4 linked regions of the Arabidopsis thaliana genome follow. The protein of the gene in region 2 purifies or fractionates together with the protein of the main gene of each other region. This does not show direct contact. Each region holds a gene or a part of one and is shown on either strand. Other genes may lie near its edges.

Region 1 (5,188 bases), 9.2 Mb from region 2:
ATCCCCGGAAGGAAAGTGGAGGACCTCAAATACCAAAAATCCTACTGATTCCTATGCTAGGTGAAATTTGCTTTTTATTGCAGAGATTGTGTGTGTTTCTGGGATTCATATGTGCTCCATACTTATAACTTTAATTAATGTGGAACAGATTCATGACTGCACTCTACAACTTACTTGATGGTACATCTGATAATGCCAAGTTTGAAGATGACTGCCGAGCGATAATCGGGACTCAGTCTTATATTCTCTTCACATTGGACAAACTGATCCATAAATTCATCAAGCATGTGAGTATTTTTGCTCTTTGATGTTTTCTCTATGTATTCACCTCTCTATCTTTACTTGCTTTTTACTAACATACGTGTGGTCATTCTTCAGCTACAAGTAGTAGTAGCTGATGAGATGGACAACAAGCTTCTTCAGCTTTATTTTTATGAGAAATCCAGAAGGCCTGAAACGATTTTTGATGCTGTGTATTACGATAATACCCGTGTCCTCCTCCCTGATGAGAATATTTACCGTATTGAATGTGTAAGTTTTTGCTGCATCTTACATTAGCTACTTATATTCTGTCGATGCACTGCTGATCATGCTTTTGGACTCCAAAACCTCATGTGTATGCAGAGATTATCAACCCCAGCGAAACTCTCTATTCAGCTTATGTGCAACGGTCTTGATAAGCCCGATGTGACATCTGTATCCATTGACCCGACCTTTGCAGCTTATCTCCACAATGACTTCCTCTCCATACAACCAAATGCAAGGGAGGATCGCAGAATCTATTTAAATAGGTAAATGTAAAACATGAACAAATGACTGTCCCTTGATCTCTGAAACCTAGTGGGTCACTCATCAAAGCCAATGCCATTTTTCGTTTTCTCCAGGAACAAGCGCAAAGTTTGTCGTGAAGATGAACAGTTATACAGCACAGATGAAGTTAAGATCAAAAATGGTTTGGAGTGTAAGATAGCTTGCGGTTCTTCAAAGGTAACACTTTTATCTTCTTCCCTATATCACGCTTACCGCTTATGAGTATATCCATGAGAGACCAGCACTTGAAAGCACGTTCTTGAAAATCTCTTGCAGGTCTCCTATGTACTAGAAACAGAAGATTTGTTGGTGCGAGTTAAAAAGAGAAGAAAAACTTTGTGCCACAATCAGGATTCTTGGGTAAGGCAAATGAGGTTACAATATTACAAAAATAACTTCTTGTGACCAGCCTGTAACAATCTGGAAGAAGGATACCAAATCAACTCAACTTGTTCATTCACTCTCCAACTTAACAGAGACAAAACAAAAACAAAAGTGGCAATTCTCCATTGTTGACTTCACCGGATAGAGCCAAACTGCATTCTCTATCTTCATAAGAAGAAGAAGCAACAAAGGATTTGGCTTTTTGTTGTCTGTGACTGAAAAAGAAAACAATCACTCACAAAAATGATGTTACATATGTAAAGTTTGTCTTTATTCACTCTCTTGTTGTAAAGTTTTGTATGTTGTTGTAACATTTATCAAAAATTTCATTTTGTTATGGTATGTTATATAGAAATGAGTCAAATGACCATAAAAGGTTTGACCTTTTCCATAAACGACGCTTCGCCCTCTCCTAACTCTTTCCCTCACTTTAAAAAGATTCGATTTTTGACTGCAAAAAAGAGAATTTCTAAAAGCAAATCGGAGAGCTTCGGCGATGGCGTTATCACGACTTTCTTCACGATCCAACACTTTCCTAAAGCCGGCGATTACCGCCTTGCCCTCCTCCATCCGCCGTCATGTTTCCACAGACTCATCACCGATCACAATCGAAACCGCCGTCCCTTTCACATCGCATCTATGTGAATCACCGTCACGCTCCGTCGAGACTTCATCGGAGGAGATCTTAGCCTTTTTCCGTGACATGGCTCGGATGAGGAGGATGGAGATCGCAGCAGATTCTCTTTACAAGGCGAAGCTGATCCGTGGGTTCTGTCATTTGTACGATGGTCAAGAGGCTTTAGCGGTGGGAATGGAAGCGGCGATTACCAAAAAAGATGCGATTATCACATCGTATCGTGATCACTGTACTTTCATTGGTCGTGGTGGGAAGCTTGTTGATGCTTTCTCTGAGCTTATGGGGAGAAAAACTGGTTGTTCTCATGGTAAAGGAGGATCTATGCATTTCTATAAGAAAGATGCTTCCTTTTATGGTGGACATGGGATTGTTGGTGCTCAGATTCCATTGGGATGTGGTTTGGCTTTTGCTCAGAAGTATAATAAGGATGAGGCTGTGACTTTTGCTTTGTATGGTGATGGTGCTGCGAATCAGGGACAGTTGTTTGAGGCCTTGAACATTTCGGCTTTGTGGGATTTGCCTGCGATTCTTGTTTGCGAGAATAACCATTGTGAGTTTATTTTTTGGTTAATTGTAATTTGTTTGGTGGAATTGTTGAGACTTTTGTGTTGATTTGGATTGTTTGATGTTTAGATGGAATGGGAACGGCTACATGGAGGTCGGCTAAGTCTCCGGCTTATTTCAAGCGTGGAGATTATGTTCCTGGCTTGAAGGTGAGACTGAGTTGTCTTTTGGCATGATCTTGAGCTTTACAATGCTTTTGCTTTGATGAGACTGAGTTGTCTATAGCACGCTTTTAGTTGATACAGGGTTTCCTTGTGTGTTTTAGACCACTGGGTCGACTATGGAACAGCTAGGTAGTGAGGATAGGGTTTTAGACACAAATTGAATGAGAAAGGACAAACCTTCACAGTTGTGTGTTCGGATCAAGTGTAACTTTGTGAGAACTACCAAAAGGAATTGTCTCCAAAGTCTCTATCTTTGTTGTTTTACAGAAGTTGCTTCAGTTTTTTATTACTTTACCCAATAGAATTGTATCCGTTGTTTTTCTGATTGGTGAGAGTGTGAACTTAAAGCTAACGAATGATTATCTTTTGCTTTGTTTTCTAGGTGGATGGTATGGATGCACTGGCTGTGAAACAGGCGTGCAAGTTTGCCAAGGAGCATGCTCTCAAGAATGGTCCTATTGTAAGTATTACAGCTGCTCCTGTTGGTTTTATGAAATCGATACCTAATCAATATGACTCTTAGCATTTTATGCAAATTAAGAATTCGTAGAATCATTTATTACTTGCATGTGTGATGCTACTTTGGTTGGGGAGAATGGTTAGCTGGTAACTTCTACCTAGCCTAGATTTGGATTGAACGAGGTTTATTTGGAGAAAACAAGACTTCTTAAGTACCTATGTTGTTAATTTGTTTGCTGTTTCCGGGAGAGTGTGACAGGCGTGATTGACAAGCTCCTAGGATTTCTATTAAAAGTACTAGATAAGTAGATATCACTAATATCTCTTGGAGTTTTTGGTGTGTACCTACTTATGAAGTGAAATTATACCATGTTGACTTCAGCTTCCAACCAATTTTCCTTTTTTGCATTTTGTCACCAACACAAATGGGACAAGCATTTTGGATCTTGTGAATTCAATCACATAGCGTTGACATTTATCGTATTTTTATAATCCATTCTCTACCTAGTGATTATGACCAACATACCATTGCCATTATTTGCGCAGATCCTTGAGATGGACACTTACAGATACCACGGTCACTCTATGTCTGACCCAGGAAGCACTTACCGTACTCGTGATGAAATCTCTGGCGTGAGACAGGTTAGTTCTTTGTTCATTTGTAAGACTACTGCTCCAACCATATGCAATTTGAAACTTTTTAATCTGTAAAGTTTTCATCGGTGTTACCTTTAGGTGCGTGATCCAATTGAAAGGGTGCGAAAGTTGCTCTTAACTCATGACATAGCTACCGAAAAAGAGCTTAAGGTACCCTGTTCACCACCTTCCCATTCCAGACAAAAAGCTTGAAAAAAATTATACATACAACCATCAAACTTGACTATGGAAATGACAAAATTCTTTTGACATTAAAGGACATGGAGAAAGAGATAAGGAAAGAAGTAGATGACGCCGTAGCTCAGGCCAAGGTAATAATCTTAATTGTTTCTATCTTTGTCCTTGTTATTTATCAAAACACGAACTAATTCCTTGCTGTTTAACTTGTTTCAGGAGAGCCCGATACCAGATGCATCTGAGCTATTCACAAACATGTACGTGAAAGACTGCGGAGTTGAGGTACTATCACATCCCACTCTTTCACATCTATTTATTTCTTTTGTAACCCTGTGGCGTTGGTAGTTGTTGGCATATGAATCTAGAGATTTACGCATTTTCCTCCATTGAAATTTGCAGTCGTTTGGAGCAGACAGAAAAGAACTCAAAGTAACACTTCCATAGAATCTTGCTTCCCAAGGAGATGATTGGTTCAATAAATCAGAAGGCAAGGCTACACAAATCTTTTTAACTTGCTACCAAAAATATTTCTGGTTTTTTTTTTTTGTATTTTCATTTCAAGTGTAAAGCCATTGCTTCACCAGTTTGCCAACTTTTGTTTCCCACACTTCAATTTGACACCAAGCAAAAGAAGCTTCGGATATCACTCTGTGAGATAAAGTTAGAGAAATAAGCAGAGAGTAGTTAAGAGAAAGATCATCAGCTTCTTTGTCTCAAGTAGAAAAATGTCGACATGTGATTACAAAATCATCAAGACCCCGTGTTAAATTCGTTATCTAATATATATAAAAATAAAAAGGCAAAACCAACTTCTGCGTCGGTACCAATAAAACCACATGAATAGTTATGTCTCCACCACCTAACTTGAATAATCTTTGCTTCTACTCTACAAGTCCCTTTCTCATCATCCCCCACATCAACACCAAATCTTATTGAATAGGTAAACTCTATGACGCCACTCACTCTCTTTCTTAATACTTAAATTAGATTAGATTTCTTGCAACAACTAATCACTACAAAAGAACATTGATGATTGATTGCTTTTTCCTTTGTTAACCAAGCATTTGGTTCTCTCTGTAAGCCAATAGAAACCAAACAAACCTTTGCTTAGTTTTTTACTCGGTAAATAATTAGTTTGACAAGTAACAAGTTTATATATTATATAGTGTTCAGTGTTTTAACTTATTCAAGAATATTCTCTCTATATCATCAAATCAAATATGTTCAACGGAATCTTCATCGTGTTCTCTTCTCATATCCGAGAAAAAGTCCTTAAGAAAAACTCGAGAAAGTGATACATGAATGGTATTATTGAAAATGTTATTCATATAATAAG
Region 2 (5,025 bases):
CAGCAGAAACTTTCATGTTCATCCCCATACCATCTCCTGAAGCTAAATGCTCAAAAGCTTCCTCGAGGTTTCCAATCGCGCTCTCGTATTCATCTACGCATGACCTGTAAGCTAACTTAGATCGAGGGTCGACTCCTCCATCGATAATAGATTGGAGTTTCTTTAACGTTTGTGTAGCTCTCGCTTGTGTAGAATCAAGTGTGGTTTTTGCCAAGGCTTGAAGATTAGGCGATGCGAATTTCGTATTGAGGAACTTAAGACAGAAAGATGGATTTAAGGTTTTGTCACAGATTGTGCTCATTTCTGAACTTGTGATTGCGTATGATGAACCGATCAAGAGAAGAAACATGAGAGAAGACAAGAACGCATTGTTCCTTAGATTCGCAGCCATTCTTGTTTTCTCTAGTAATTTTAGTTTTTCCAAGTTTGTGGTAGAAAATAATATTCAAAGCAATGAGTATTTATATTAGAGTAATTTACGTACAACGCATTAGTCAAAAACAGAATCAAGAATAGAAGTTGACATGAACGATGAAAAAAGTTTTTACCATTGTTAGAAGAATTGCAAATATAGTATACAGTTATCATTAGATGATAACATCAAATTGTATGTACTTATCTAATCATGGAGCTAATTGAATTAATTTTGGTCTCTTAGTGAATGCATAATGTATATCCCCTAATTATTAACGTATGAACTGACTAATCAATTTTTGGGTTTAGTGTAAACCAAAAACTAGAAAGCAAGCCGGAAGCAATAAAAAGTGTTGAGTGAATGTTGAATATTTTATTAAAGATCAGGCTTAACACGTATCTGAACATTAACGAATAAAAACACAGTATAAAGGACAAATTGAAGGCTAAACCACAGAAAACCGAACCAAAATCCAACCAGGTTAAGATATCGATTTGGCTTGTCATAGGTGGCTCACTCCTTTAAGGTCTTCCTAGTGTGGGATGTGATTAGATACATAAGAAATCAAAACCGCAAATCAAAAATCTAAACCAAAACCGAACAAAACCAAATCAGACCAAAGTGTGACATACCTTGTTCCCTTTTAGATGTGAATAGGCTTGTCATAGGTGGCCATGGCAGCTTCCTTAAGAGCCTCGCTCATAGTGGGATGAGCATGGCAGACTCGAGCAATGTCTTCACTTGATGCATCGTAGTTAATCGCAAGAACAGCCTCATGAATCAGCTCTCCAGCGTTTGGCGCCATAATGTGAACGCCCAAGATCTTATCAGTCTCCTTATCGGCCAGAATCTTAACCAATCCTTCTGCATTATCAATAGCCTTAGCTCTGCTATTCGCCATAAACGGGAATTTCCCAACCCGGTAACTCACACCTTCTTTCTTCAGCTGTTCTTCGGTTTTACCAACCGAAGCAACCTCAGGATGAGTGTAAACAACACCAGGAACCTTGTCATAATCAACATGACCGTGTTTGCCTGCTATGAACTCCACACAAGCAACACCGTCTTCTTCGGCTTTGTGAGCAAGCATTGGTCCTGGAATCACATCTCCAATAGCATACACGCCTGGGACATTACTCAAGAATCTATCATTCACCAGAATCCTCCCGGCTTTGTCAGTTTCCACTCCGATTTTCTCCAGATCAAGTCCAGAAGTGAACGGTGTTCTTCCCGCTGAGACAAGTACCACATCAGCTTCCAGAATAGACTGCTCTCCTCCTTCTGCCGGTTCCACTGTAAGCTTCACACCATCAGAGGAGGAATCCACAGAAACAACTTTAGTCTTGAGCATGAACTTCATCTTCTGCTTCTCAAGAGAACGTTGAAACTGCTTACGAATTTCACCATCCATCGAAGGAACAATATCTCCAGCAAACTCAACAACCGTAACCTCAGATCCAAGCCTACCCCAAACAGAACCCATCTCAAGCCCAATATACCCCGCACCAATAACAATCAATTTCTTCGGAACTTCCGATAGAGACAACGCTCCAGTCGACGAAACAATCTTCTTTTCATCAATCGTAATACCAGGCAAGGACTTAACATCCGAGCCAGTAGCAACAATGATATGTTTACCTTTCACAATAGTGTTTCCTCCATCAATAGTCTCCACCGAGACTTCATTTGGGGAAATAAACTTACCATATCCTTTGACATAAGTCACCTTATTTTTCTTGAACAAACCCTCAATACCACGAGTGAGGTTCTTAACCGCATTATCTTTCTGAGCCAACATAGCAGGAAGATCTACCTCAACAGAAGAGACCTTAATACCATGGTTAGCGAAGGAATGCTTCGCCTCATGGTACATATGTGAAGAGTGAAGCAGAGCCTAATACATCAATAAACACAACCAAGAATTTAGTAATTATGGAATAACTGTGCTTAAGCAAATGATAATCATCACAAAAGACAGTAATTAACTCTCAAAAGAATCATCCACAAAAGGAACAGATCAAAATCGTCAACTATGATCAACAAATTGATTGAAGAAACGAGAGATGATTCGAAATTTGACCTTGGAAGGAATGCAACCGACGTTGAGACAAGTACCACCGAGAGCGCCGCGTTTCTCGATACAAGTGGTTTTGAGACCAAGCTGAGAGGCTTTGATCGCGGCTACGTAACCACCGGGACCGCCGCCGATGATGACGACGTCGTTTTCATCAGATCCTGATGAGGCGAAGCCACGGGAGAGGGAAAAGGAGAATCTGAGAGCGTCAGTGGGAGAGTTTGATAAGTTTCTGGTGAGAAAATACGCCTTCCTCCTAGCTAAACTCGCCATCGCCATTGTTGTTTTAGAGAGAAAGAGAGACTTGGCTCCTTGTAGAGATGAACAGAGCCGGCAAATGTAAAGAGGAGAGGCTCTCTTAGAACCCTTTTTCTCTTTTTAATCACAAATATTTTAATATTTCCTTAATTGACCAAAAATATAGATAAGTAAATAAATCATTTATATGAATGAATACTTGAATTTCTAATCTCAATTATGTACACTAAATATTTGAAATTGATTACAAAGTTACCTTAATGCACACTTGATTTATTATTATTTTCTTGTCAACATTTGAATTACTTTTATAAGTTCTAGACTTCTAATTCATATGTAAAGAAATACACCAAAAAATATTTATGTATATGTAATGAAAAATACTGTATTGTAAAAATTATCAAAAAATATACTCATCAGAAATATATGGACATGAAGATTGTTGGAGGAGAAGAAGATAAAGAGATAAAGATAGAGATGATGAGAAGCAAGTAAGGACAGGATTTGAGGCTTTTGAGATAAACCTCCAAAACCTTTCACAGTCAGAAAGAAACTCTCTGAATTCCACATATATGGGAGAGAGATTCTTAAACCAACCTCCAAAATCTAGATTCAAAATAGTTAAAATTAAAATTCCTTAAAACAATCAATAATGGGTACAACATCACTAATCCTCAAGAACAAAAATGAAATCCTCTTAATCAGTTTCAATAATCCTACCAAAACTTCAGGCTGGTTTTTCTCTCTATCTCTCTCTGAAACAAACCAAAAAAACAGATCAATCAAAAATGAGAAACCACATTACAAACAAGACCTTAACTCTCTATCACTCTCTACGTCTCTTATTTTATCTCATCGAATCGAATCTCAAATTAGAGAAATAATGGTTTGATCGGTAACACCCGATCCCTGTTGTTTGTACATACTGCCAAAAACACTGCTTTCACTCGCCTGCAAGCATTGCTTGTAACCGAGCTCGGGCTTCGTCAGAAACACAGAATCTTAATCTTCTTCTTTGCGGTTGTTTAGGTGAAGACGGAACTGAGGAGAAGCAGATCACTATAACCGTCATATTATCTGATGACTGAAGCCTCGCTGCTTCTTTTCCTAGTTCCATCGCACATTGTCTCGGGTCACCATGCCTCCTCAATCCTTGCCTTACATTACTCACTGCATTCTGGCTTGACAACACATCCCATATACCATCACATGCCAAAATCAAGAACTCGTCGTCCTCTGTTAGAATGATCTGTCCAATCTCTGGGTCTGAAATCAGTGGTGAAGAGGAGTCAGTGAAAGGATTCTTCAGTTCCCAATCTCCAATGGCACGCGTGACAGCTAGGACTCCGTTGAGGTATCCATCCTCAAAGTATCCTCCTAAATCTTCAATCCGCCTTCTTTCTGGCTCATATGTTGATCTGTGATCGAAAGACATATCAACAGCCACTCCTCTCCTACATAGCACTGCACGACAATCTCCAGCATTAGCAACAAGAAGATGTCGTCCGATTATGAGAGCGGTCAAAGCGGTTGTCCCGCATGAACCACTGACAATGGTTTCATCAGCCATGGCAAGATCAGCCAAAGCAAAAGCCTTTCGGTGAGAATTCTCCAGTTCTTCTAAGAAAAACGCGTCCACAATGGAGGGCATCTCTGGAAACACAGCATCTTGGAAAAACAATCTAGTCAAGTTCTCCTTCATGAAAATTGCTGCCTCAGGCCCACCATGACCATCAAACACACCATAAAAAGCACTTGGTACCGAGAAGTTGTAGGATCCAAGGTGAGCTGACAAATCATCTATGCAAATGTGTTCATCCTCCATGGTTTCTCGACTTCGAATGTCAGCAAAGCTCCCTGAACGTATAGTTGGGATAAAGTCACTGGCGGATTCTCCAATGGTAGTAGTTACACAACTCATGCCCTGTTACAACAAATGTACATAAGAAGGTTTGTTTAAGATTCCTGAACTTGGCACAATTAAAGAAACAGAACAGCCAGAACAGAGCATCAGAGTCGTTCCGCTAACAATGTAAAATTGATTCATGAACACCTAAACTAATTCTTCATGCAAAGGTATAAACTTTCCAAAGCACAACACTAATCTTATCATTTTCCATTGTCTACACGAACCTAATCGAAGAGGGTATGTAGGATTCAACATTATTATGCAATAGAGAACAAAAAGAAACCCAAAACTAATATAAGCCCTGATGCAGAATCGGATCATTATCAGAATTTCAAGCAACGGTCTAATCTCAAAATCAAATTATAACTC
Region 3 (7,781 bases), on a different chromosome or scaffold from region 2:
AAACATGTGATCAGAGTTAACAATGTAGACCAGCAGTTCTGGTTCTGGATGTGCACGTGGGTTGGTCCGAGGTTTATTATGTAGTAATCCAAGATTCATTTGGTAAACAGTTGGATCTTTCTCACAGAAGAAGTCTTCGAACATCCTCAAAGTTTGAACGCAATTCAGACATAAACGAAGCTGAAACAAAGCCGGTTTCATAGAAAAAGCAATGAGTAACAAAGGAGAAACACAGTGAAATATGGCAGCAGCATAACATAAAACTCGAAACGAAGGGATTTATGAATGTTCCATTACCTCCAACTTGTCCATCAAAGATCCGATGATCAGCGGATAACGTTACATTCATTTTTGTCACAACAGAAGGCTTCTCAATTCCTGAAACAATGACGAAAACTTGTCATACCATGATCAGAATAGCAACCCTAGTTGAAAACCCAAAAGGATTCTACTAGCTCACCATCTAGTCCAATAACTGGCTCAACCACTTTGTTTCCTCTACCAACTGCTAGAATCCCAGCCTGCAAGACAATTGATAGTCCTGAAGTTTATTATCCAAAAAAACACATCTGCATCTCTATAAATATTAAACTAAATCCTCTACACCACAAATTACAAACAGCAAAACTTAATCTTCAATCTGTGATTCAGGGTGCATCGTTAAGGCTATGATTACCTGAGGGGGGTTAATGATTGCGCAGAAATTATCCACAGGATACATTCCTAGATTTGATATGCTGCAAAACGATAAAGTATGGTTTTCTCGTTAAGTAGGAAAAGTTACACATGATTGATAATTCCGTACTATGCTTAATAACTTAAAAATGATGAATACCTGAATGTCCCTCCTTGAAACTCATGAGGAGCAAGCTTTCCAGATCGAGCCTTTTGTGCCAGCTCCTTAACCTGATCCAAAAATCATTTGACATATTAAAATTCATAACTATAGCGATCAACAACACATGGAATATGGTAAGAACTGATCAAACATATGTGCCTCTATAGCCTTCCATATTCGTTTAACTTCAGAGAGAATAAAATTACCTCTAAGGAAATAGCAGAAATAGATTTCTGGTCTGCATTCTTGATAATTGGAGTCATTAAGCCCTGCAAAAAATGCCAAGATGATGAGGGATAAACTGTTGAAATGATCAGAAAATCAAACACACAAGTGTACCTTCTCAGTTGCAACTGCAATTGATATGTCAACACTGTCACACATAACGATATCTCCTTTCTCAGCATCCCAGAAAGCTGCCAGACATTGAGAAAGAGAACTTTAAGCAACCATAAGAAAGGTTTGAGAAAGCAGAAGAGAAAAAACAACCACACGATTCCAATCCACAAATCATTACATCAAACTCACACCAAAAAATGTCCTACTTGTAACGACTAAAACCGAGTCTAAAATGCATTACCAGTCATATTGAATGTTACAGTATTACAATCTCAAAACATCTTTACTAAATACTCTCAACGGAGGTAAACGGCATTGCAAGAATAATCCAACATGGAAGCCGAGTTTCCTTAAAGAGGATGAACTAAGGTTTTAATCTAGCGCATAGTTAGGGATGGGAACAAACCATAGTTTAGTTATTTTTAATGAAATCATTTACGAGGAGAAAATAATTTCTCACCATTAGCTTGTCGTACATTCCTCAGTGCGACTGCCACTGCTTTAATAACTATGTCATTGACAGACACTTTAACGCCATGGTTTTCTGTAGATCATGAAAGTACAGTTCACTCTGAGCCTCTCAAGTTGTTAATAAATACCAGGATGTGTGATAAGAGCAGTCTACAAACCTTGAAGTTCTTTTCTAAATGCAAGAAGAGGATCCAATACAACATCTGCAGGCAAAATAAAATGCTTAAACAGCAAATAAAATACACAAAGAAAATACAAAGGTTGTGAGTCACCAACCTGATTGTAAATACAAATGGGGTATCTTCTGTTTTGATTCCAATAAACGTTTTGCTATAATCTGCCAAGTGGGGAAAGTAAAACAGAATGCAGCAGGACATATTTCATCATTCTACATAGAGAGTAATAAATATGTTAATTTACCTTGCGAATTTGACTATTTGGAAAATCTTCATAATTATTATCTGACTGTGTCACAGAAGGCTTCGATGTGGAGGAGGATTTAGACGGGGTCTCCTTTGATGGTTGCTTCTTCTTCGTAGACGCAGATGATTTAGAAGCTTTTCCAGAAGCAATTGCGGCCACAACGTCTGATTTCAATAATGTACCATAGGGACCCGATGCCTCAATTGATGATGCCTCCAATCCATGTTCTAAAATCAATAGCTTTGCAGCAGGACTGATCTTTGTGAAGCCTGCTTTCCTCTCTGTAGGTTTATCTACAACACTGTCAGGGACTTCTTTAACTGTATCAACCTCAGAACTACCTGCGGAAGAAGACTTGATGGCTTCAATACTTTCAGCATCTTCAACCTACAGAGAAGAACGATTAGCTTATTATATCCCCCAATCTGCAAGCAATTGTATTTTCAAAGATTTTTTGTGCAGGCATAACTTTTACTTCAGGCAATATATAACGTAGCATGGAACTAGAAGAGTGTCGACCAATTTATGCACAAAATGCATTACACACAGGCTAGTAAAACAAATGGATTAAATATACCAGTCGTAATACAGTTTTCTGGCATAAAGAATTCAGTCAATGTACTTTTGAACTAAAAGACTTACTATTAGGGCAATCGGCTTTCCCACCGCCACATCCTTGGAACCTTCAGGAATTAGAATCTTAGCTAAGTACCTACACAAAAGTCATCCATCAAGTTATAGAATCTATTATATAACTTCACTCATTTGATCCAGGAAATCAGTTTTTGTAGAGGAAGCCCATACTCATATGAAAACTACGAAACATGAAATCAACCTTTTAAATCACTATCAGTTCAAGGGGGAACACTTGGAGAGACCTTACTTTTTGCAATTAACATTTACTTCTCACTTAACCAAACAAGAAAAGAAGCAATATCCACAGATAGTGAATGCTATATAGAATGAACATCAACATACTGCCTAGAAAAAGAAATAAGACGACAAGATGTTAGTTATACCCCTCTTCAAGGCTTTCAAATTCCAGAGTGGCTTTGTCAGTCTCGATCTCACCTATGACATCACCCACTTCAATCTGTTTCATGAAATGAGAAGAATCAACACAGGCAAGTGCATAAACATCAGATTTCTTGTGGTGAAATTACAATGCCAATTTACTCATCGGGTCACCAGAAACTAACCTTGTCACCCTCTTTTTTCCACCATTTGGCAATATTACCTTGGTTCTGCACATCAATAAACAAATAATTCAGAGTCTTAGGATAGAAAGCTGAATGCCTTCTCCTCCAAAAAAAGCTAGCATAAAATATGAAATTTCATACCATTGTAGGAGAAAGTGCTGGCATTTCTAAGACGACATGTGGGGGAAGATCTGATGCATCGGGCTGAATGGAACTTTTTTGTTGTGTGCTTTCGTCAGGTTTCATCACTTGATGAGCTGATGTTTCCTCTTTACCATCTCGTCCACCCTCTATGGTAGCAGGAACGTTTTTAATGTCGTCTTCCTCCTCAACCTTGGTTACAATTAAATAGATAAGATTAAACTCTTATCCATCAACCTTATGTAGCAAGATGTTGACCAAAACTGTAACCAATATACGCTACACCCTAAACCCTACGATATATCATGTTTGGGGACATAACATGACAACTCAGTATGGCAAACGGAAATATTTAGAAGAAGAGAGCATGAGATTGGATCTTGGACATTTTTCCACAATAAATATTGACAACGAAATACCATACATCTCTATGATTTGTCAAGTCTTCCAGAATGTAAACCCAGGAAACGAAAGAAAGTGAAAGAGGCCAAGAGCAGACTAGATAAACAAACAGGAACTCCTAATAAGCGTATGTTGATGCATGCATCACCTTTTGTGAGATCATACTTGGTTTCTATAAATGTATAAGACAGCCACTGTGCTTACCATTATTGCAATCGGTTCATTAACAGGGATATCCTTTGATCCTTCAGTGACTAAAATCTTGGCCAGAAATCTGCAGAACCATGCTTCATAGTAAGCCAATTGACATTTTCATATACTTATAGGGAGTCAGATATTTGAATTACCAAGGTATAATGAAATAAAAATACAAATCAAAACATAAAATCATGAACCGTCTTTTTCAAAATTACCCTTCCTCTTGACTCTCAAATTCTACAGTGGCTTTGTCTGTCTCTATCTCACATAGTACATCACCCACCTCTACCTGTCAGGAAGAACCAAATTCATACCTGTTACTGAGAATTTCCACATTCTATATTTTCTTTGCCAGCTAAATTATCAATTTATCGTCTTTCTTGTATAATGATCATTAGTAGACAAAATCATAAAAGTCGACTGAAATTTTGTCAACCAAAAATAAGAAATAACCCACCTTGTCACCTTCTTTCTTCATCCATTTTACAACATTTCCATGACTCTGCAAAAGCCCAACAAACATAAAACAATGATTGAAGTCCAAATGTCTTGGAGGAGGCCAAAATTCTTTACAAGATTGAAGTCAAATTTCCTACCATAGTAGGAGACAAGGCTGGCATTGCAAGAACCGTCTGTGATATGGGTCCTACAACCCAAAGAAAATAATAATTTAATGGAAGAATCTTGTATAATTGATTGCATCTCCTGTCGCTGTATCTAAGGTATGATGGAAGCACAAACATCAGAGAAAAGAGTGATATGGAAGTTTTTGCACCTGCATCAATTAACATTTCTATTTTTCTACAAGTTAAGCGAAAGTTTCCATTAATTATTCTTATCACCCACTTAACATCTGTGTTGGTAAGTCTTATGGCTAAAACAATTTAACAATTGCCGACAGGTTGCTCAAATCAGATGAAAGTCCCATAATCAACTCGTTTAGTAATTCTATAATGGAATTGCTTGGTTGACTCATTTATGAAGATCATTATTCCATAAGATGACATAACAATCAATGAATACCTGTAGATGAAAAGTTTTGCACGCCAAATCGCAGCTACAAGAAAACAATGTATGTGAGAAACACGGATAGATGAAAGTGAAAAAAGAAAAGAAACAGTACTAGCTGTTCACTTACAATGGGCTTTGGAGAACTATCATCCATTCTTGTAATCAAGTCTATAGAGGCAGACCTGAAAATGTAGAACAGACAAAATCTCAAACTAGACTAACAATCTAACACATACGAAACGAACTAAATTATAACCTTAAACTTTGAATGCCTACGATCACACTGACTTTTTCTATAAAAATAAATCTTGTCCTCAATTTGTGATATGGAACACATACCTCACACCATTACTGCTACTAATTTTGTCGTCCAAGTGGTATAGTCCATTAGAAAAGCTGAATAAGAAAGTTCATTGTCAAATGTATTGGAAAGGTAAAGAGATCACACCAGTTTAAGGACACACTTGTTCTTCACTGCGAGTGACGTAAAATGGAAATTACATCTCACAAACTAGAGAAGATAAACCCGTACTACCAGTTCGATAAGAAAAAATGGATAGTTCAATTGTTCCAACAAAACCAAATTTGGCATTCTTAAACATCACTATACAATACGTAATAAGAACTCCAAAAAAAGTCAATGGATGATTGCGGAAAAGGAAAATGAAATCGAACTAAGAAACAGTTCAGTCATCGAATTGCAAAGGATCACACATGGAAGAAGAGCAACATCAAAATACTTTGAAAGAGGCGGGACTAGATAGAGAGAATAAGCGTACCGAGAATGGAATTCGGAGGCAGGAGCGAAAAGACGAGCTCTGAGAAGCGAGGAAGTCCGGGCGATCGCAGCGCGCCGGAAGAGCGGAAGCACCATGAGAGCACTTGGAGAAAAGAGAGCAGGGTTTGACAAAATCACAAATGAGAGAGACGATGATACCGAATCGTAACACTTTTGATTTTGGTCAGATCGCAGCGACGACGGCACGAACGATTCTATGACATTAGGAAAGTGTTCATAATTCAGATACGGCCCGGTCCGGCCCGGATTAACAAATACCAGTAATCTCTACCGAACCGGAAATTCACACTTTTAATCACATATTTAATTGTCCGGTCGAGTGACGAACCGAAGTTTATTAGACATTAAAAGAGTGCCATCGATTAAGGGTTTGATTGGTTTGTTTGTGCGACCACCTTCTACGTTTCCGAAAGGTCGCGGTTACATAAATACAGATTCTCTAAATTGTTCTCTATACACTAAAGTCTTATACCGTTCAAGTTTATAACCATTTTTAATCAGAAAATAACATGTATCATTGTATCAAAGCTTAACGGTAATGGGTTTTAAAATAAATGTTTTACAAATTAATAAGAAGTGAACAAAAAATTTCTCTCTACAATTATCAACTTGATTCAAGTTAAAATAGTTAATAGAACATATAGTATTTTGAGAATCTGTCTCAAGGTTGAGTTTTGGTAGTAGTACACCAGAGATCATCGTTGTTGTTGGACTTATGTGAATCAAATGGAAGCGATTTGACCAGCGAGGGGCGAATGGGACATTATTCTCTAATAGTTGGAGGTTGATGCTTCTGGATGGTTTGTTCTTGATGGGACGCGCATGGGAGTCGAATCTTGAAACAATAGCTAGGTAGGTGATTTTCGAGACGACATTCTTAACGTTAATCATAATACGATAAGATGTCAGAATAGTGAAAAACCAAAAACAAAAAATTGGGAGTAGACAAATAAGAGGTAGAATTGTGTTCTTATACTTGATGGTGAGCTCAGAAAAAAAGAGAGACTTAAGATGTAGAAGCTGAGTATCGTCGAATGTAATAAGCGATATATGTTGCTTGTTGAATGCAAGCCCAATTAGCGATATCTAGTTAAGGAGAACGACATATAGATCAAATCTCATATATCAAAGGTATATGAGCTAGTCTTTATGAATTATGGGTGTGTTGTAATATATCAAGAGATTCTTTCGATCTGTACAGATGTAGTGAACGAGTATTTATAAGAAATATATGACTGGAACTAGTGACAAAAGGTTGAGTGAGTTGGTCGAATCGTTTAAGTTGTTGGATAACAAATAATCGAATACGTTATATTGTGTGTAATTTCGGCAGATGGAACATGAACTATTAACACTACTAGATAACTTTTTGTGATGCGTCGTCACTTAGGTGGAAGAAGGCATGCACGCGTTGTCGAACAACACGTTTTTCTCCATACATGCACATAGCCAGTCTCATGTGGATCGTCAAGCATTTCCAGCATCATAGGAATTTGATCATTTTTGCTTGAAACATGATTTGTTCTACGCAGTATCAAAACTTAGTTTTGAGATATAATACTCTTTAACTATTGTATATAAAATTTTAATTGACCTATGTGATACTATTAATATTGTTTAATTATTTATCTATATTTTTCTTTCTAATTTATATGTACAAATTGATTTATTTATTTTTAATTTCTTACTATTGTTATTCTATATAGTATTTTTCTCATCTATATCCTCATAATTTATTTGAAATCGTCTCTAATATTTTGTTTGTGTTAATTATCTATATAAAAGTTTAATTCCTTTTATACTTTATTTGTAACTAGTATTATACCCGGTGCATAGCACCGAAAATTAATGTTATGATACATTCTTTTTTTGAATTTAAATGTTATGATATGTTACATATTATCGATATTTATACATGAAAAATTAATTTTATAAATAGATTAGTATATAATCGTGTAGG
Region 4 (5,511 bases), 9.5 Mb from region 2:
CAATAATCTGGATACCTTAATATGATTGTCAAAGCCAGTAAAAATTGTATAAAGTACCTTGCATATAGAATGCAAAGCCTCCTCAATAACAGAATAGGCGTCTGGATTTTCTAGATGTGTGGCCAAGGATTTGAGAGCAGACTCTGCGACATGAGAACCAGATCTATCCATTGCAATGGCTGGGAACACACTAGCAGAATTTCGTATGAAACTGCAGAGTTGGTCAAGTTCACATCCCTCAAGTAGAGTTTGCAAGACATGACTTATGATATAGTCTGTAGCAATTTCATACTCCCTCCCTCTTGTTTCTTCAAGGGCATTTCCACATATTACTGAACGTTCCTCTAATTCAACTTCATTACTATCAAAGAGATTGGCAATCTCAGAGAAATACTTTGAAGTCTCTGGATCAATCTCTTTCCTGAAAAAGATACACCCAAATCACTACCACTTCTCACAACAACAAAATTTCGACTATAAATTAGAGCAAAGGCCCTTGGTTAAAAATCTCCTTTACCTGACAAATTGATTCTGATGTTCGAATTCGGAGTGTTTCTTTGATGCTGGCTTTACATTGGGGGCACCACCGGATTGGTTCTTCTTGCTGCTATCTACATCAAATCCACGGTTACCCTTATGGTCCTTCCTACGCATTCCCTTATTCCTTTCACTGTGATTGTTACTAGACTTTCCTCGTTCACCCATCAAGCTATCTTCCTCAATGGTCCTGTGCCTCCTAGATGGCAATGATTTAGAACCAACAGAAACCATGAAAATTCCTAGCCCCAACTATGTTAAACCCTACAAAATTTACACACAAAAAAACTCAGCTTCGAAGAACTATTAGTCCCAAATTACACAATATAACAAAAAAGGGAAAGGTTCAATTTTTTCTCCAAATTTACAGACCCCAAAAATTAGGGTTTCTACCTCTACTTCAAAACGATACCATAACTGGGTTGAATAACCTAAAACATAACAATAAATTCCGAGTCCCAATTCTAAGACTTTACACTAATCCATGTGAAGCTTGTACAAAAGAACAGAAACAATAAGGTGTATCACAAACCTTTGAGGATGCAAAAACACAGTTGACGTTAGAGGAGAAACGAACAAGCGTGAGCTCAGACTAAGAACGCGGCGCAGAGACAAAACGACGTCGTCTCCGAAACTCTTGGTATACGTTGGATCAAAATCTTCGATGTTTTGACGTTGTACAAATTTTCTAATTCCTAGGGTTTTATTCTCGTCCAACCTAATACGATATCGTTTTGTTGACGTGGATATAAACAAATAATGGGCTTTAAATCACGATTTTACCGACCTTTTTAGGGCCCAATTATGTAGCCCAAAAAAAACCTCATCGTTAGCAATGTGCTGCTACATGTTGTTGTGATTTATTTAAATTTAGAGATTTCTAAAAATTTATAACTTTCAAATTAGCTGTAGGTTTTATAAGTATCTATTTATCCCCAAATTAGATTACGACTGTGATTGGATTATTCAATTTTGGTCCTTTTGGATAATTAAGTCAACGGAAGATAGACTTCAGACATCTTTTTTTGATAAAAGACATGTCTTTTTTTGGGATTAGTCGTGTGTTTAACAGATAAATCAACAAAATTAGCCGCCTAAAAAAAACCCCTACAAATATCTTCATCAATTAGATTTTCGAAAAGAAAAAACGAAAAAGCAATTTCTGAGCGTGGAGGACAAGGCAAAATTCGGTGTGCAAGGCACTGGATATTGGGACCCTTGTTTCCTCGTGAGAGAATTTTCAATCCTAGGGCTTAAAGAGCACGTTCCTAGTATAAAGCTGATTCACAGATGCGGAGATTCTTGATTAACCAAGCTAAAGGTCTCGTCGACCATTCTCGTCGTCAACATCACCACAAAAGTCCAAGCTTTCTCTCTCCTCAACCTCGTCCCCTTGCTTCTTCTCCTCCTGCTCTGTCTCGTTTCTTCTCTTCTACTTCGGAGATGTCTGCTTCTGATTCCACTTCTTCTCTTCCCGTTACTCTTGACTCCATCAATCCCAAGGTCGGTTTCTAATTCTCTAGCTGGTTTATTGCGTTTTTGAATTGTGGGTTTCAGGGTTGATCTGGATTTGTTTCTAATTTAGTAAAAAAGTTTCAATTTTTTACTGTGGTTGTCTGATTTAACGCCAAAGGTTTATCCTTTGCTTCTCGTTGTGATTCCCAACGATGAAATCGACAAGCTTTGCATAACTTCTTTGTACTTTATATTACAGAGAAGTTGGTTTTATTGTTAACTAAGAGTTTTTTTTCTTTTCCGGGGAACAGGTTCTGAAATGTGAGTATGCTGTTCGAGGAGAAATTGTCAACATTGCTCAGGTCAGAGATGCATGTGCTTTGTCTTGTAAAACCAAGAACAAAATCTGTAAAATTGTTTTTAATGCTAATTGATTTTTGTTTGCTTTTTGCTTCCATCTTACAGAAGTTACAAGAAGACTTGAAGACTAATAAGGATGCTTATCCCTTTGATGAGGTAAAATCTCTTTCTTTATCGGCAGTTTTGACGGATTTATGATTAGTTTAGTGTTGATGTTACCTGTTCTCAAACTCTTTGTGCAAGGAACTTAGAATTCTTCATTACTTTTGGCAGATAATCTATTGCAACATTGGGAATCCTCAATCTCTTGGTCAGCTGCCTATAAAGTTCTTCCGTGAGGTAAGTGAATGTTTTTGGTACTAGTTTGGTTGTCATATCAGCCACAGAGATATAACGTCTATCATCTATATGCCTCAGGTTCTCGCATTGTGTGACCACGCAAGTCTTTTGGATGAGTCTGAAACCCATGGTTTGTTCAGGTGAGGTTTTCCTTGCTATATTTCAGCTTTAGGACATGTATGCTCACGGTTTAAGATTGCTTAACATTTGATTTCTACTCTGCTATCAGTACCGATTCAATTGACCGAGCATGGAGGATTTTGGACCATATTCCCGGAAGAGCAACTGGGGCTTACAGTCATAGCCAGGTTTGTTATTAGAGTCTAGTTAAAAGTCCTAAACCCTTTCTTGAGATGGTTCTTATGTTGCTGAATGTTTCATTTTTTGTTCTGCCTCAGGGTATCAAGGGTTTACGTGATGTAATTGCAGCTGGAATCGAAGCACGTGATGGTTTCCCTGCTGATCCAAATGATATTTTCTTGACTGATGGTGCAAGTCCAGCGGTAACAATCAAAACGAAAACGTTATCTCATAGAGTTAGAGTAAGTTCTTTTAAAGGATTCATGCTAAGTGTTTTTGGTGTTTTTTACTCTATAGGTTCACATGATGATGCAACTTCTCTTGAGCTCAGAGAAAGATGGTATTCTTTCCCCGATTCCTCAGTATCCATTGTACTCGGCTTCAATTGCCCTTCATGGTGGATCTTTGGTATGTTCATATAATCATCATGGAGTAATGTTGTTTTTTGGTACAAGTTTTTGAAATTTGTACTTCTTAGGTTCCGTACTATCTTGATGAAGCAACAGGATGGGGACTGGAAATATCTGACCTTAAGAAGCAACTAGAGGAAGCTAGGTCCAAGGGCATCTCTGTAAGGGCCTTGGTTGTCATAAACCCCGGTAACCCAACTGGGCAGGTACAAACAGATTTTCAAGACTAGCCTAACAAAATGTAACATTCTTCTAATCTTGCGTTCTTATTCTGGTTAGGTTCTTGCGGAAGAAAACCAGCGTGACATTGTTAATTTCTGCAAGCAAGAGGGTTTGGTTCTTTTAGCTGATGAAGTCTACCAAGAAAATGTTTACGTCCCTGACAAAAAGTTCCATTCTTTCAAGAAAGTGGCTCGGTCTTTGGGCTATGGAGAAAAAGATATCTCGTTAGTCTCGTTCCAATCAGTCTCCAAAGGTAAAAGAACAACTTTTACTGTCCAATGCTTGTCATCTAAAAAATGGGGTTTTTGTTTTTAATATTCTTCTGTTGATAGGATATTATGGAGAATGTGGAAAAAGAGGAGGTTACATGGAGGTTACTGGATTCACTTCTGATGTAAGAGAACAGATATACAAAATGGCTTCTGTGAATCTTTGTTCTAACATCTCTGGTCAAATTCTTGCTAGCCTTGTCATGAGCCCACCCAAGGTAACACCCTAGTTCTCTCTAATCGGTTTTCGCTAAGTTCTTGCAACAGATTATGACTAAAAAGTCTAATATTGTATTTGATCAGCCTGGTGATGACTCATATGACTCATACATGGCAGAAAGAGATGGAATTCTCTCATCCATGGCTAAACGTGCAAAGGTTAGTCGAAGATTACAATACCCTCTAACGACATTTTTCAGTCTCTTTGTATATAATGTCACAAGCTTGAAAATGAACTTGCAGACTTTGGAAGACGCTCTCAACAGTTTAGAAGGTGTTACATGTAACAGAGCCGAAGGAGCAATGTATCTCTTCCCGCGAATTAACCTTCCTCAAAAGGCTATCGAAGCTGCTGAGGCTGAAAAAACTGCACCAGATGCGTTCTACTGCAAACGCCTTCTCAATGCTACTGGTGTAGTTGTAGTCCCTGGTTCTGGCTTTGGACAGGTAAAATATAACCAAATCTTCATAACTTTAAATGTCTTACAAAAGGATCGAACTTGAATAATGGGTTTTGGATTCATTGTGGTTTAGGTTCCTGGAACATGGCACTTTAGATGCACAATACTTCCACAAGAAGACAAGATTCCAGCGATAGTGAATCGTCTGACAGAGTTCCACAAGAGCTTCATGGACGAGTTCCGCAACTAAAAGGACCTGACCATGAAGATGAACTTAAAGACCCTTTTGAAGAAAAGTGTGATCAGTTTGAGTTATTAAAAAAAAGAAAACTTGTGTTTTGAATTTGATCAGGCAATTGTGATCAGCTAATTTAATTTTAGAATATTTTGTACTTCCATTCCATGGCATGTCATATGAAGATATGAAAATTAGTAAATTTATTGGGCTTATAAATGGGCCTTATATTATTAATGGGCCTTATATTTATTTTTCATATGATATTTCTGGAGAAAGCGACAGTATATTATCTTCAATTTTTCCATTTTGAAGAATTTTCTCAAGAAAAAAAAAAATCAATGTGGAGAAGATCACCGTCGTTTATTCTCGACGAGCGACGAAGCTCGAATTCACCTCCAATGGCGGATACAACACGAGGTCCTTTTCAAAACCCTGATTCCATCTCCGCTTATTACCAAACTCGCGCGGCGCATCACGGTGTCATTACAAGCGACTGGCTAGCCCAAGCTCAAGCCGCCGTTGGCGGCGTCTCAGGCGATGCCCAGCATGACTTATCCGTAACTGATCTCGGGAACGAGAAGTCGTTTAATGTAATTGAAGAGTTCAATAACTGGAGAAAACAACCGGATCTGGCTGAAGCCGTCGCGGCTATACGAGCTTTGGCTGCTGTTATTCGTGCGAGCGAAGCGAGCACCATGATGGAGCTTGAAATTGAGCTCAAAAAGGCTTCTGATACACTCAAGGTGAGAATTCATTTTTCA

The links.
Region 1: the proteins of mtLPD1 (region 2) and IAR4 purify together in Arabidopsis thaliana (affinity purification with mass spectrometry, with the first as the bait; one large-scale study listed by BioGRID). This does not show direct contact.
Region 3: the proteins of mtLPD1 (region 2) and LTA3 purify together in Arabidopsis thaliana (affinity purification with mass spectrometry, with the first as the bait; one large-scale study listed by BioGRID). This does not show direct contact.
Region 4: the proteins of mtLPD1 (region 2) and ALAAT2 fractionate together in Arabidopsis thaliana (co-fractionation; one large-scale study listed by BioGRID). This does not show direct contact.

The regions. Positions count from the first base shown.
Region 1 is NC_003070.9:8,559,885-8,565,072, reverse strand, and holds IAR4 (thiamine diphosphate-binding fold (THDP-binding) superfamily protein), read left to right. Parts: upstream 1-1,570; 5' UTR 1,571-1,690; coding exon 1,691-2,381; intron 2,382-2,464; coding exon 2,465-2,544; intron 2,545-2,941; coding exon 2,942-3,019; intron 3,020-3,564; coding exon 3,565-3,660; intron 3,661-3,753; coding exon 3,754-3,825; intron 3,826-3,932; coding exon 3,933-3,986; intron 3,987-4,068; coding exon 4,069-4,134; intron 4,135-4,251; coding exon 4,252-4,296; 3' UTR 4,297-4,653; downstream 4,654-5,188. Other genes in the region: SNL3 (SIN3-like 3), read left to right, coding at 1-60, 149-287, 379-531, 625-791, 885-987, 1,087-1,170, 1,287-1,367. UniProt on the Arabidopsis thaliana protein: The pyruvate dehydrogenase complex catalyzes the overall conversion of pyruvate to acetyl-CoA and CO(2).
Region 2 is NC_003070.9:17,716,374-17,721,398, forward strand, and holds mtLPD1 (mitochondrial lipoamide dehydrogenase 1), read right to left. Parts: upstream 3,127-5,025; 5' UTR 2,769-3,126; coding exon 2,496-2,768; intron 2,310-2,495; coding exon 1,059-2,309; 3' UTR 1,048-1,058; exon of another isoform or gene 948-1,047; 3' UTR 520-947; downstream 1-519. Other genes in the region: PMEI1 (pectin methylesterase inhibitor 1), read right to left, coding at 1-391; AT1G48040 (Protein phosphatase 2C family protein), read right to left, coding at 3,691-4,671. UniProt on the Arabidopsis thaliana protein: Lipoamide dehydrogenase is a component of the glycine decarboxylase (GDC) or glycine cleavage system as well as of the alpha-ketoacid dehydrogenase complexes.
Region 3 is NC_003074.8:19,358,432-19,366,212, reverse strand, and holds the start of LTA3 (Dihydrolipoamide acetyltransferase, long form protein), read right to left. Parts: upstream 6,008-7,781; 5' UTR 5,897-6,007; coding exon 5,802-5,896; intron 5,419-5,801; coding exon 5,362-5,418; intron 5,205-5,361; coding exon 5,150-5,204; intron 5,069-5,149; coding exon 5,035-5,068; intron 4,886-5,034; coding exon 4,608-4,885; intron 4,514-4,607; coding exon 4,469-4,513; intron 4,301-4,468; coding exon 4,227-4,300; intron 4,088-4,226; coding exon 4,018-4,087; intron 3,604-4,017; coding exon 3,412-3,603; intron 3,316-3,411; coding exon 3,271-3,315; intron 3,165-3,270; coding exon 3,091-3,164; intron 2,784-3,090; coding exon 2,714-2,783; intron 2,459-2,713; coding exon 2,069-2,458; intron 1,986-2,068; coding exon 1,925-1,985; intron 1,852-1,924; coding exon 1,807-1,851; intron 1,722-1,806; coding exon 1,638-1,721; intron 1,255-1,637; coding exon 1,178-1,254; intron 1,108-1,177; coding exon 1,045-1,107; intron 907-1,044; coding exon 836-906; intron 738-835; and 8 more.
Region 4 is NC_003070.9:27,231,810-27,237,320, forward strand, and holds ALAAT2 (alanine aminotransferase 2), read left to right. Parts: upstream 1-1,665; 5' UTR 1,666-1,827; coding exon 1,828-2,040; intron 2,041-2,303; coding exon 2,304-2,354; intron 2,355-2,457; coding exon 2,458-2,508; intron 2,509-2,625; coding exon 2,626-2,691; intron 2,692-2,769; coding exon 2,770-2,831; intron 2,832-2,920; coding exon 2,921-2,999; intron 3,000-3,089; coding exon 3,090-3,233; intron 3,234-3,288; coding exon 3,289-3,399; intron 3,400-3,469; coding exon 3,470-3,607; intron 3,608-3,680; coding exon 3,681-3,876; intron 3,877-3,955; coding exon 3,956-4,110; intron 4,111-4,195; coding exon 4,196-4,270; intron 4,271-4,354; coding exon 4,355-4,558; intron 4,559-4,645; coding exon 4,646-4,762; 3' UTR 4,763-4,980; downstream 4,981-5,511. Other genes in the region: PUM23 (pumilio 23), read right to left, coding at 58-421, 518-771; AT1G72340 (NagB/RpiA/CoA transferase-like superfamily protein), read left to right, coding at 5,008-5,493.